Linked DNA regions of Styela clava. The protein of the gene in region 1 purifies or fractionates together with the protein of each later gene. This does not show direct contact. Links are inferred from orthologs where the notes say so. Each region holds a gene or a part of one and is shown on either strand. Other genes may lie near its edges.

Region 1 (7,305 bases):
TATGAAAGATCTTCAGCAGGACAGAGAAAATTTCCAGCAGCATTATTGACAAGAACGTTAATCTTTCCATAATGTTGCAAAATATGATCCACAGCTTTTTCAATTTCCTCTGGTTTTCTGACATCAACAGATAGAGCGATAGAGCGAGCAACGTCTACCAGTGGCATTTTCTAATTTTTTCGCCGATTCTTCCACTTTTTCTAGACGCCGACTGGCGATTGCAATATCGCATCCATGCCGCATAAAAATCTCAGCAATCCGGAAACCAATTCCAGATCCTCCCCCAGTTATGAAGGCTACTTGGCCTTGAAGCAAGTCTGGTGTGAAAACGTAAGTATAATTTGTCAAACAATCATCAGTAAAAACCTCCACATTTCTAGGTTTTGTAGCCATTATTGTACCATAAAATGAATAACTACCAATATTTATAATGATAACTTGAATAATAAGGATGTTAGCCACGATAGATAACTTAGAAGTAAACAACCTATTTATTCCAGATCATGATAATGATCAAGAAAAATTCAAGATCGCTGCTCTTTTTACAGAGGTAGCTTTCCAACAGATTGCTTCATATTATACCAGTTTTTACGCAAAACATGATGACCAAGCATGACATCTATTTAAAACTAACTTGCTACTGCATAGTTATGATTAGCGATTTGGTCAGATTATTAGCAGTTTGAATAAGTGCAGGTATTAAATATTAAGACTAAGTTTAAATATCCGCTCTGCTACAATCCAACCTATACCAGTAAGCAAACAAGGTAACATGTATGTACTTAGCAAACATTGATCAACAAAGAACTACACAAAAATCATGCTGATTAAACTGTTTGTCAATATTGCAAAATTGCTTACCAAATACTTTTGGAGTTGAGGGTTCACAGCAATGTCATATTTTTAAGGGTTAAAGGTTAAAAAAGCGCATTCTCTATAATTGAAGGTCAAAAGAAGAAATTGAAGGAACTGACTTTGGGATAGTGGGCAACCCAATACATAAAAATGATATCAGCCCAACATTAAAGATAAAGTATAACATTTACAGATGGTCAATAAAAATGTTTTTTTGTTTGTTGTTGAGGAAAGATCACAAGTTTGCCAGCAACCAGGTTTCAAACATGACATTCCATACATTAATTGGTAATGCAGGGCACAAGATTGACACAAATAATATGAACTTGAGATAAATAAATCACAGCTAAATGACATATTTATTGAAATGTAAAGAAACACAAGTTGATATATGATCAAACAAGAATGAAACAAGTACAGCTGATCATGATGAGGTAAAAAAAAGTGGCTGTAGATATATAGCATATCAAAAACAAATTGAAAAATGCTACAATATTCATCAATGCAAATTGTTTTGGAGTCCCATGCACACAGGATGAGCTTTATAACTTCCAGCATCTTCTAAAACTCCACCTGGTGCACAAATGAAAGGATCATGTGTTTGATTTTGCCATTGCATTTGCATCATCCAAAGAGACTGAAAAATGTCTTTATATTTTTCATCAGTTGCTAGATTTTTTATCTCCAGCGAGTCATTATCTAAATTATACATCTCCCATTCAGGGCGATAATAATACTGATTCAAAGTTTTGAACCAATGAAGATCCTTTCCATCTCTAGTACGATTCAGCAGGTCTTGGAAAGATGGAGACAAATAAAAGTCTTGATCAATTGGAAATGGCATAAGATAGTTCAAATTTCTAATTAACCTCCAACTTTTATTTCTAATTGATCTCATAGGATAATACATTGTGATTTCATGCAATGAGTGGCTGCCAAATACATATCTTCCATGAATATTTGGATCACTAAATATGAGAGACTGTCCAGTTAAACTAGCACGACGACCGAATATTTTATAACTTGGATATGAAATGTCAAACCATTTTAACACTGTAGGTGTAATATCTAGTGTGGAAATCACTCCATCACTATGCGTTCCCCAAGATGACTTTTTAAGTGGGTTTGAAACAATAAAGGGTTCTTTAGTGCCTGATTCATAGAGATTTGTTCTTCCATTTGGAAATGGGATGCCGTTATCAGAAGTGAATATTACCAAAGTATCATCTGCATGACCTGCATTCTCAAGTTCTTTTAAAATGAGTCCAACTCCTTGATCAAGTCTTGATATTGTTGTGTATTGTGCACTCAGGTCAGATCTTGCAGCTGGAGTATCTTGAACAAATCCAGGCACAATTACTTTATCGGGCGAATAATAATCAGGTTTCCAATCTTCTATTATTCCCATTCCTGGTTGACCATTTCCAAATTTTTCACAAAAAACTCCATATTGTGGTTGCGTATGCCCACATCTATGTGGATCATGGAATCCAATATATAAAAAGAAAGAACCATTACTCTGAGACAAAAACTCTCTGGTTAGCTCTTTCATTCTGGTAATATTTCTCCCGACTTGCATAATTGAATTATTTTCTTCTGTCTGAGCATATTCGAATGGATAAACTTCCTCTGGGCCAACATGCTTTTTACCAATGATACCAGTTCGAATACCAGAGTCTTTTAGTATGAGAGGAAGACTTTTGACTGCATTGAATGAATCAAAATTATGGTAGCCATTGTGCAATCCATACATGCCATTTTGATGTGGGGGAAGGCCTGTAAGAATTGCTGATCTACTGGGCGAGCAACTGCTTACGACAGTGTATGCATTTTTGTACAAAATTCCGCGAGATGCCAATCCATCTATGTTTGGAGTCGATATGACACTGTTATTATACGCTCCACATTCGAATCCGTAATCGTCTGCAACTATTACCAGGACATTGCGAGGAATAACAGCCATGCACAAACACAATGACGACAAACAAATGAATAAAAAATGAAAATAACGCACCAGATTGAACATCCCTAGACACCCAACCATTGCACTTTTGCAAATTGCAGAGGCTAAGTAATAGGGGGTTTCCCGTACGACACGATCACATGACGCTGCATGATGTGTGACCAAATGGTAAGACCAGAGCTCTGGCTCTGGTAAGACTACCTGACCGGTTGGTTCATTTGAAAATTATTAATACAAAAAAAATTGCTGACAACTAAGGCATTCAATTATCGTACAGTTGTCTTGAAGTTAACCGTAAATATATAGTAGTTAACGCTATAGTGGAGGGATGCGAACAACTCGACCACACGGACAACTCACCAGAGACAACTCGACTACAGTAGTGGATTGTATCTTAAAATCCCGAATCTGGGGTGGAAATTTTCGACTTTAAATAAAAATAAATCCTAGTAGAATCGGCAAGGAGGGCGTCTCGTGATTATTACTGATAATATTATGATAACATTAGTATATTATGACAGGTCGAAAAAGTACATTATTGATTTGTGAAATCGTAGTTTATTCAAATTGATATCTAGGATTCTGGATTGACTTTTAAAAGTGGTTTACAGATTCGGGCCGTGTTTAGAACATGGCACAACTTGCTACCACGAATGGGGAATCCCCTCTAAAGTAGGGTGGATACAAAGTGACAAATTCCAAAACGGGATATTTTATCAAGCAACGACCAAGCGTTGTCTCATTTATTTGTTGTTCGTGTGTTCACATTTGATTAGCATTGTTCCATTGCGGTATAGCCTAATCCGAAAGCAAGCAACTCGATTAACGGTACCGTACTATTGCCACACGTTGCAACTGTCAATAATATAATATGCGCTACCGGTACGCATTCCATAACTTGTAAGATCGAAGACTAAATAAATAAATTATTGTTATTATTTGATGCTACGGTACATACTAGCCTATAGGTAGAAATTCGAGTTCCAAGGAGGTAATATTGAATTTATGTTTGGTATTTACGGTACCTTAGAACATAGGTTCTCAAAGTGCTCCGTACGGAGCCCCAGGGCTCCGCGAGAGAAACCCAGGGGCTCCGCGAGCTATTCGATTACTCTGCGAAATACTGACCCAAAATTTTGTAACTGTTGAAAGAAGCAATAACAGCGTTGATAAAATCTGACAACAATACAGCCTCGAAATATGGTATATGCGGCTTCGTCGGTAGTTTCAGAATGGGAAAAAAGGGTACATCGCGCATACAATTGACTGTGTTTCGATTTCGCAGTTACTACGACGAAAACCTAACATAACACCAAATTTTGTGATTTACAATGTCTATAAAAGCGTTTTCAATCTGAGGTGAGTCTGCTGAAGCCAAACGTGTGATCTTCCATTTTAAGTTTCAGTTTTAATATTTTAGAATGCCGTTTTTCAATCAAGAAATTTGAGTTTCGGATTTATCTCTTTATTAATTATAATTTTTAACATTTCGTCGCAGATGACTATTATATGGTAACATGTTTTTCACATTGAACTCATAATTTCCCACGAGAACAAAAAAGGAATTAACGTCGTCATTGTGTAACAATACATGTATATGCCGAGGGAAATTTTTGATTTAGGGAGAATAAACACCGGCATAAAGATGTTCAAAACACGCCATGCTGACGAAAAAAATCGGCGATTGTAACAAAATAAAATCGCGCACGTTATTAGCGGCCTGTTAAGTCTTCTAAAAATGTCAAAAGAGAAAAGATTCGACCCCTAATTTATTAATATGTTCGTCAAGTGTCAAATTTACAGCTTTAGTATAAAATTCAGATTCATTTATGGCTTGTGTTAATCCTATTAAAAAAGGTTCAGCATTTTAAATAAGTAAAGTACTTTTAACTTGCCCAGGAATATTAATCTGAAAGTAACAATTTTAACATTTATCTTGGGGCTCCGCGAATAATATTCAACTTTTCAAGGGCTCCGCAACACCAAAAGTTTGAGAACCCCTGCCTTAGAATACACTAATACATAAATATGTTAAAGATGTTTCTTTCGGTGTGTCATCTTTTGCTTCTCATCTGTTGCATTTCATCTGGTTTTGCAGAAGAACAATGGTTCGAACAAACTCTTGATCATTTTGATCATGAGGTGAGTGTCTTTCAACACTTGAATAACTCTTTTTGTGTTCTATTTTTCTCAATATTGGTTAGACAAAGGTTTACTGAAACCATGGTGATACACAATTTATAAATGTTTCATGACATGCCAAATATGCTGATTCCAAAATTTCTCAAATAGTTATTCAAGAAAATTTATGACTGAAGTCACATTTGAATATTCATACCATTCGACTTATTCTGGACTAATATTAGTGATTGTCAAGATCGAATAGCCTGCCTAATGTTCTGAATACATTTTCAACATATTTTTGAACCAATTTTTATCCTGAATTAAGTCATGTTCAACACATAAGGTCCTTGACTAACAAGATACAAAGTTTTGATACTGGCACACCAATGACACCATGTATACTTTTAGAATCACAGAACGTGGAGCCAGAGGTATTTTGTATCGGATAAATACTATACACCAGGTGGACCTGCTTTTTTACAAATTGGTGGAGAAGGACCCGCAGGTCCAGTATGGTTGGATCAAGGACATTGGATTGAAATTGCAAAGGAAGTTGGTGCTAAGTGTTTTATTTTAGAACATAGGTGAGTGATTTGGACAAAAAGATATAAGTAGGTTTTCACGGTGTGTAGAATCAAGCCTCCTTCCTTGTGCATGTGATCTATTTCCACCATCTTCGCCATATAGACTGAGCCTTTATATGAATAGGATAGCGAAAAAATTTAAAACAATAAATTTTGGGTCTCATGTAGTTTCGTACATACTTTTAGTGGACGTAGCATGACAATTTTTTCACGTATCAATCCTAACCCCCACCTGACTACACCATCCAAAAATTACGTCAACAGTGATGTAATAGAACCCTTCAAACTATACGACTCGCTATCCAAGAGGCGCAAACGAGCACCCGAAATCGAACAGTTATTTCTCTTGTTTTCTCGTCGCAACGATTCCGATAGGAAAGAGATCGATAATGTCTGTCAGTTCTTTATCGTCGGCGCCAATGCCATTTTGGGCGATTGTACGTTTATTTGTCAAGCTCTATGACGTGATTGTGATGTCGTAGTGACGTAATTTTTGGATGGCGTAGTCAGATGGGGGTTAGGATTGACATATCAAAAAATTGTTTTGCTACGCCCACTAGAAGTACGTTAGGTACGAAACTACACGAGACCCGAAATTTTAACCCCAAATGATTATGCTATCATTTATTATATATTGTTATTGAAATTTCCCATCATGAAGTGAACGAACACACATTATTCATTTAATTTAACAAAGAAAATTATCAATTTATATTAAAACAGAAATGTAATGTTTCAAGGTAATATTCTGTGGCAATCATAGATTAATGAATAACGGAGGGGCCATCACCCATCATCGGCATAATTAGTTTTCCTTTCTATGATTACAGATTGTATAGTTTAAGTCCTGCCTTAACAATATATTCTCATCTAAAATAACTGCTTTAGATTTAAAATGAAGTACAAGCTGGCCAACATTTATAATTTCATTTCATATATAAATTTTATTTATAGATTTTATGGGGAAAGTCATCCTACTAATGACACATCTGTTGAGAATCTTCAATTTTTATCAAGTGAACAAGCCCTCGCTGACATAGCAAGATTTATCACAAATAAAACTGTAACATCAGGCTTGAAGACTTGGATAACATTCGGTGGATCTTATCCTGGATCTCTTTCATTGTGGATGAAACTTAAATATCCACATTTAATTAAAGGTACTGATAGCTAGGTAGACTTGTATTGTTAATATGGAAGATTTAAAGGATTTTTAAGAAGAATTTCTTGAGTGCTCATAAATGGAAATTATTGACACCATATGTTGTTTCTAACCCCCACCTGACTATGTCATTCAAAAATTATGTCACTACTACGGCCTTCCAAACTATACTAACTGTCATCCGAGACGCTCAAACGATCACCCGAAATTGAGCAAGTTATTTCTTTCATTTCCTTGTAACGTTCCCGATATGGGAGAGATCGCTGGTGTTTGTTATCCTTATGTTAGGGAGTTTGTTATCGTTGGTGCGTTCGTAGCTAAACTATGGCAAGCTCTTTGACATGATTGTGAGGTCATAGTGACATAATCTTTGGATGACAGAGCCAGGTGGGGGTTAGGAATAACCTATTTAAAAATGGTCAGGCCATGCCAAATAGGAGTACTTACGTCGTTTAGTGAACATACACCCATACTTGTATGCATGATTGGTGAGAATTTACACCCGTCTCCGAGCCATTTAAAAAATAACTCAATCAAGATTTTTTTTTTCCAATTTAACTACTATTTTCTAATACACAGGAGCAATGTCTGCAAGTGCACCTCTGCTTGCAAAGATG
Region 2 (6,092 bases), on another chromosome or scaffold:
TTCGAATGAAAATTTCAAAAAAACTGCAACATGGTATTCTTCTATGCATAGATTTTGTCATGTTATGCTATAAAATTTTAAGCAAAATGCATCTCCAGTTTGACTATTGACTTCTCAAACATATCTGAATAATTTGTCATCAATTGCATTCAGAAAAATTTGTGTATTGGCGATGCAATGATAGATCTTGTGCACTGTTATTGTTAGCATATTCCATTCCTCATTATAATGAATTGATTGAAAAACCATAATTTTTATCCGAATACAATAATGTGTTTAATTAAATGATTACACTCTCAACACAACCCAAGACATATTATCACCAAATTATGCTAGTAAACCAGCAAACAGCAGATCAAATAGGATTACTACGTTTACTTTCGTCTGATATTCTTATTTAAAATTGAATTAACAAACTCATAGATATTGCACATTGCACAATGTCATAGAAATCAATACCTTGGCACTAAATTATGAAAAAAAAATTTATTTGAATGTTCAAAAATATTTATAGTTCAGTATGCTTAGATATTTCCTCTGGCTGTAAATATTTAGGGAGTTTGTCAGCAGCACACCGAAATCCTAAATTTGAAGCTGAACTATCTGGTGTATTTTGGCTTCGTGCAGCACATCTATATCTATAACAATAATCTTTATGGCACAAGTACGAGCCTCCTTTCTTTACTTTATCAGTACCAGTTTTCGGGCCACTTGGATTTTCAACTGGGTTTGCACTATGATCAATTGTCCACCAGTCTTGCACCCATTCCCATACATTTCCAACCATATTATAAAGTTGATATTTATTTGGCTCATATGTTAAAACAGGTGCTGTGGATGAATATCCATCTTCTTCAGTATTTGTTTTAGGAAATTCGCCTTGCCAAATATTCATCCTGTGTTGGTCTTTAGGATTGGGTTTATTGCCCCAAGGAAAAAGTCTATCTTTCAGCCCCCCTCTTGCCGCCTTCTCCCATTCTGCCTCCGTTGGAAGCCTCTTTTCAGCCCATTTGCAATAAGCTGTCGCATCATTCCATGATACATGAACAACGGGATGATCCATTCGTTTCCTAATGTCACTATCCAAACCTTCAGGATAGCGCCACGATGCTTTATCCACAGGTAGCCACCAAGGAGCTTGGGCAACGGCTTGACTTATATCTTTTTTCGTTTTTTCACTGATGAAATTTTCAAGTACAAATGAATTCCCAAACTTTTCGGCTTCTGTGATAAGCCCAGTTTCATCAACAAATTGCTCAAATTGTTCATTGCTAACCTCAGTTTCATCAATATAATAGTCATCCAACGTGACTGTTCGTAATGGACCTTCTCCATCAGCAGGTGGTACGGGTGAATTGTCTGTACCCATTTTGAAGGGGCCTGCTGGAATTAATACCATTTTGGCAGAGAATTTTTCACCGACCTTAAGGTGTGTGATCTCAGGTTCACCTTCAGTTTCTATTACAACATCATCAACTTCTGCATCTTGATCATCCTTTTTCCTACTAAGCTTATCACAGCCACAACTCTTATCTTTATTTTTGTCCCCATTTGCATCGTTCATTTGGTTTCGTTCTGCATTTTCTTCACAAGAAATATCATAGGTGCATAAGATCAAGATGAACAAAACCAATTTTAATAACATAATAGATTGTTCACTTATAACAAATTGCTACAGTAATATTAGAATATAGTAAAATATTAAATACTACAGCAACAAATTCTGAAAATATATACGGGTATATGACACAATTAACTTATATTGAAAATGACATGCAGTGCGGCGAATTGCTAAGCGCGCACAAAAGATAGCAAAATTATGCTAAACATAACTAATACATTATCGAATTTTTTACATATTGTAGTTATAAATGTTATATTGTTTCTTATTATAAACTCAGAAATGATGTCTGGATGTGTACTGTACATGAATGAATACTTTGTTACATAGAATCTACCTCTATCTGTCTATTATTGTCATGTAACAATACTGCGATATGGATCGACACTACTTCCAGACTGCGGTAGGTTAGGTACTGCACTTGCTGTAATTTTTAAGTTCTGTGTTATTTAACTGATTAACAGAGTTTAGCTACTGTAACCAGACATGAGTGATTTTTTTTTTTTTTTTTTTTTTTTTAAAGGTCCACGTTGTGGATTCATAACAGTTTTGTTAAAATAAATAAATGATGAAAAAATAATAATCATAGAACATAGTTACATATAATAAACAAATATATTCGTAAACATCATTCAGTATTATCCAGCCATTCATATTATTCCATTGTTGATTTTTTAGTATTTCTGTATTTCGAAGCAAAATAAGGCCTGCAGGCCTTATTCAGTTTTTTATGAACCTTCCTGCTGTTCTGAACTCATATCTAGCATATTTCAGTATTTCAGTATCTTCTTTCTGCAGTTCTGTCTTTCAGTGTTTTGTGAAGCAAAATACCTATCATGAATATTCTTTTACAGTTTTAGGCTATCAGGGATCTGTATTGCACATAATCACACACACTTTGCATATTACAGTATTATTAGTTTGGAATTCAGGTATTGCAGTACAATTTCTGAACTTTAGCAGGTACAGTAATTTGGTCAGTCTACACTCAAGACACTTCTGCACTTTAATGAGGCATAGAAGTACCAGTAAGCATGAGGCAGCGAGGTAGCCTAGATCTGTAGATAGATAAACTGGGGTCTGGTATAGTTTAGTACCACATCCCCTTCTAGTGTAGTTGGCCTGGCTCAACAATTTTTGCATATGTCAATCCTAACCCCCAACTGACTACGTCACCGAAAATTAAACTGCTGGTACAGTAGTACCGTATTATTAGATGCTAAATTGGAACATATGCATTGTAAATGACATATGGTACCGTAACGTAGAAAACATGATTTGGTTAAACGAAACGCAGTAATACTTTAAATCTTACTAAATTCCAGCGAAGACTTTTGCAATTAGACTACTCTTCCAAAAACTACTACTCTTCTATTACATTTAATTTATGTACCTAAATTTTGTTATATTTTGTGTAAGTTGTCCACAGATCCCTTAAAAAGCATTGCCCGATTCTGAATCGTGTTTTTTGTATTCTTGTAGTAATACAGTAATATTTTTTTTGGTGGGCGGGCGCGTACCGGTACTTTTACGTTTTTTAACTTTATTTTAAGTTATGCTCGCCTTCCAGGTATCTCCGCATTTTGTTTGTTTGTCCAGTTTTTGTGTTGTTTTGTTTTTATGTCAGAGTACCGAAATAAATGATTGATTGACAAGCGGCGTGAGTGCCTTTCGCGGTTGCGCGAAAACTTTCAAGACCGCCTTTGTGAGTTTTTCAAAAACAAACTTTTGCGCGAATGGACCCCGACCCTTGACCCCTAAAAATTCCTTTTTATTTTTCACCCTTGAAAAATTGACGCTTTTTTTAGAGTAATTCAGATTTTAGAGGGTTGGCGCTCGCAAAATGGCTTAGATGTTCACAATTATCTTTTTTATTAAAAACCTCAATCTACGTGCGCTTACAGGCACTGATAGCTAATATTAGGCTGGCATTATTTATTTACTGTCTAAAGTAGTAGTATATATTTACGGTCTAAGACAGTGTTTCCCAACCCGGGTCCGCGGTCTCAAATGAATCCGCGAAGCATTTGAAAGAGTCCGCAACGAGCCAGAAATTCACTGCGGGCCGCAAACGTTTTTTCGAAACTTAATAAGCCAAGTTACGATTTACGTTCGAATTTACATATAACATAAAAAGCAAGTTTATCCACATAACATTAATCGAGTCAATAATTACTGGTTACTGAGTAGGGCTGCGCATATATTCAACTATTAGAATAGCAATTTACTATTCAAAATTTGGTAACAGGTGCCGCGTCGCTAATTAATCAATCTTGCGGATTTCCGACAAAAACACGAGTCTGCACACGCTTCGATAGATACATAAGTGGTGTTTCTGGCGAGTTCGAACATCGAAGAATGAATTTTTTTTCTGGTAGATGTCAATGGTGGAAATCCAAATTTTTTCTTAATTGAAAAGCGGCAATACAAAAAACTAAAATATAAAACGGAGGACATCTTAAGTTTTGTTTTTATGATGGTCCGCGACCGATTAAAAACGCCTCTTTAGACATTGCAAACCGCAAAATTTCGGGTGCTACTGTAGTATACGTACCAGGGCATTTTCCTTTAGGTTTTCTTTGCTTTACTGCCTCCACATTGGTACGTACAGTACTGGAGCACCGTAAGTGTTGTACGAACAGCTCAAATTTGTCGAGTTCACAAAAATACGAATTAAAACAAAATTTAATCGGGCACTTTACTACGTATTTTTGTGTCTACGAATTGTCATGATATGTTCTGAGTAGTATTGCTTTTATTTCGTCAACACAACCGCAGATTAGAATGATCACAATCAAATTAATAATGAAACAAGGCGATGAATATATATGTATTTACTAATATACTTTCTGAAAATTTATAGCAGATAGTAGGATTTTTCTAACGGCGTTTACAAATTTGCAAAATCGCAAAAAATATATATAAAAACTAAATATAATTAGGCAATATTTCATTAAAGCGTAAATATATACTATTAAATTACACGTTGCAGTCAGAATGAACAAACTATAATCATGAAATATAATCGGAAGGGGGCGGGCGAGACTGAAATTATCTAAGTTTTAATCCCGGTTAAGATTCAGATATTTTATTTTGTCCTGCATGAAACATTGTAAACAAATAACATTAATATATAATAGAGATAATATAATTAAATCGAAAATGTTTCGCAAGTGACGAGGTGTCGCGAAAGACTATTGTATTGAGTCATCGGCCTCCATAAATAACTTCCTCAAAAAGTACTAAAACGAGACTAAAAATTACAGGAAAAAAGAATATCACATGATGATGTAAATCATGGAAATTATTAAGAAACAGTAATACAAATTGCAAAAAGATTAAGAAGAGCTTTAGACTAATTATAATTTTCGCAGTCTAGGTATACTTTATGTTTGACAGATGTCAATCCATTTTCGAGAATAAGGCAATTTATACAAGTGAATAAAACAAAAATATATCACATTTCTGAAGTTATATATCTAGCTAGAGCAGCGGTTCCCAAACTATGGGTCGCGACCCACTGGTGAGTCGCAAAAGGAATCTTAGGGGGTCGTGAAAAGATGTAGAAAGCTTTGGATAATTATACTGGTTATTAGAATCGGTGGCGACTGGAATACGTAAATCTTCAAAATAACAAAAAAAAATTAAATTTAATTTAAATTCTAATCTGTAAAAGTTTCCTTTTACGATCTTTTCAAAGGAACAAAAGTTTGCTACACAAAAATGACCATGTGGCTTTTTTACGCATAGCAGTTTTGTGCACTGTACAGCACTTCTTACCGTGTTTCCCCGAAATTTAGACAGGATTTAAATTTATTTTCTTTTGAAGAATATCACTATGGTTGTTTTTGAAAGAGGTCTTTTGTGTTCAATTATCAAAAATAAAATCACATTGTAGAAAATCACAAGATTTTTTACTAAACATTATATAAAAACCGACATCCATCCATATCACACGATCTCGAATAGTGGTGTGATCTTCACCTTACCTCAGGCCAATGAACCTTTCCTCTCCCACACATTTTAAATTTATTTCAAGGGTAGGGTTTAATTAAAATTATTTTGAAAATTCAAGTTATTATCTTATTTTCAGGCCAGGTGCTATTTTCGAAGAAACACGGTAGTTTTGCAATGATTAGCCATTGCTGTGTTCTGTGTTATGTCATAAAAAACAAACAAAATTAAATTAAAGTTAAGTGGGTCGCCATAAGCTGTGATAATAAATAGTACGGTAGGTCCAGTGGCGGCGCGTGGTCATTTTGACAACCGGGGCAAGCTACTGCGGGACCAAGTCACCCCCATCTACGGGGACAGGATGAGCGCTGTAAGTTCTCCCATCACTTTATGAGTATAAAAACCATTCCATCGGTAACAACCAATCGGCAAAAGCGACAATTTTTAACGATAAGAAAGTGTCTTTAAAACCGGTCCAAGTCAAGGGATTATTAAATATAGACATAGTTTATTTTGA

The links.
Region 2: the proteins of N-sulfoglucosamine sulfohydrolase-like (region 1) and formylglycine-generating enzyme-like purify together in Homo sapiens (co-immunoprecipitation; 3 studies listed by BioGRID and IntAct, with this or other methods). This does not show direct contact. The link is inferred for Styela clava from reciprocal best matches to the Homo sapiens genes SGSH and SUMF1.

The regions. Positions count from the first base shown.
Region 1 is NC_135252.1:7,180,842-7,188,146, forward strand, and holds N-sulfoglucosamine sulfohydrolase-like, read right to left. Parts: upstream 3,136-7,305; 5' UTR 2,900-3,135; coding exon 1,355-2,899; 3' UTR 764-1,354; downstream 1-763. Other genes in the region: putative serine protease K12H4.7, read left to right, coding at 4,847-4,960, 5,351-5,526, 6,481-6,686, 7,268-7,305. UniProt on the Homo sapiens protein: Catalyzes a step in lysosomal heparan sulfate degradation.
Region 2 is NC_135251.1:23,323,042-23,329,133, reverse strand, and holds formylglycine-generating enzyme-like, read right to left. Parts: upstream 1,738-6,092; 5' UTR 1,646-1,737; coding exon 509-1,645; downstream 1-508.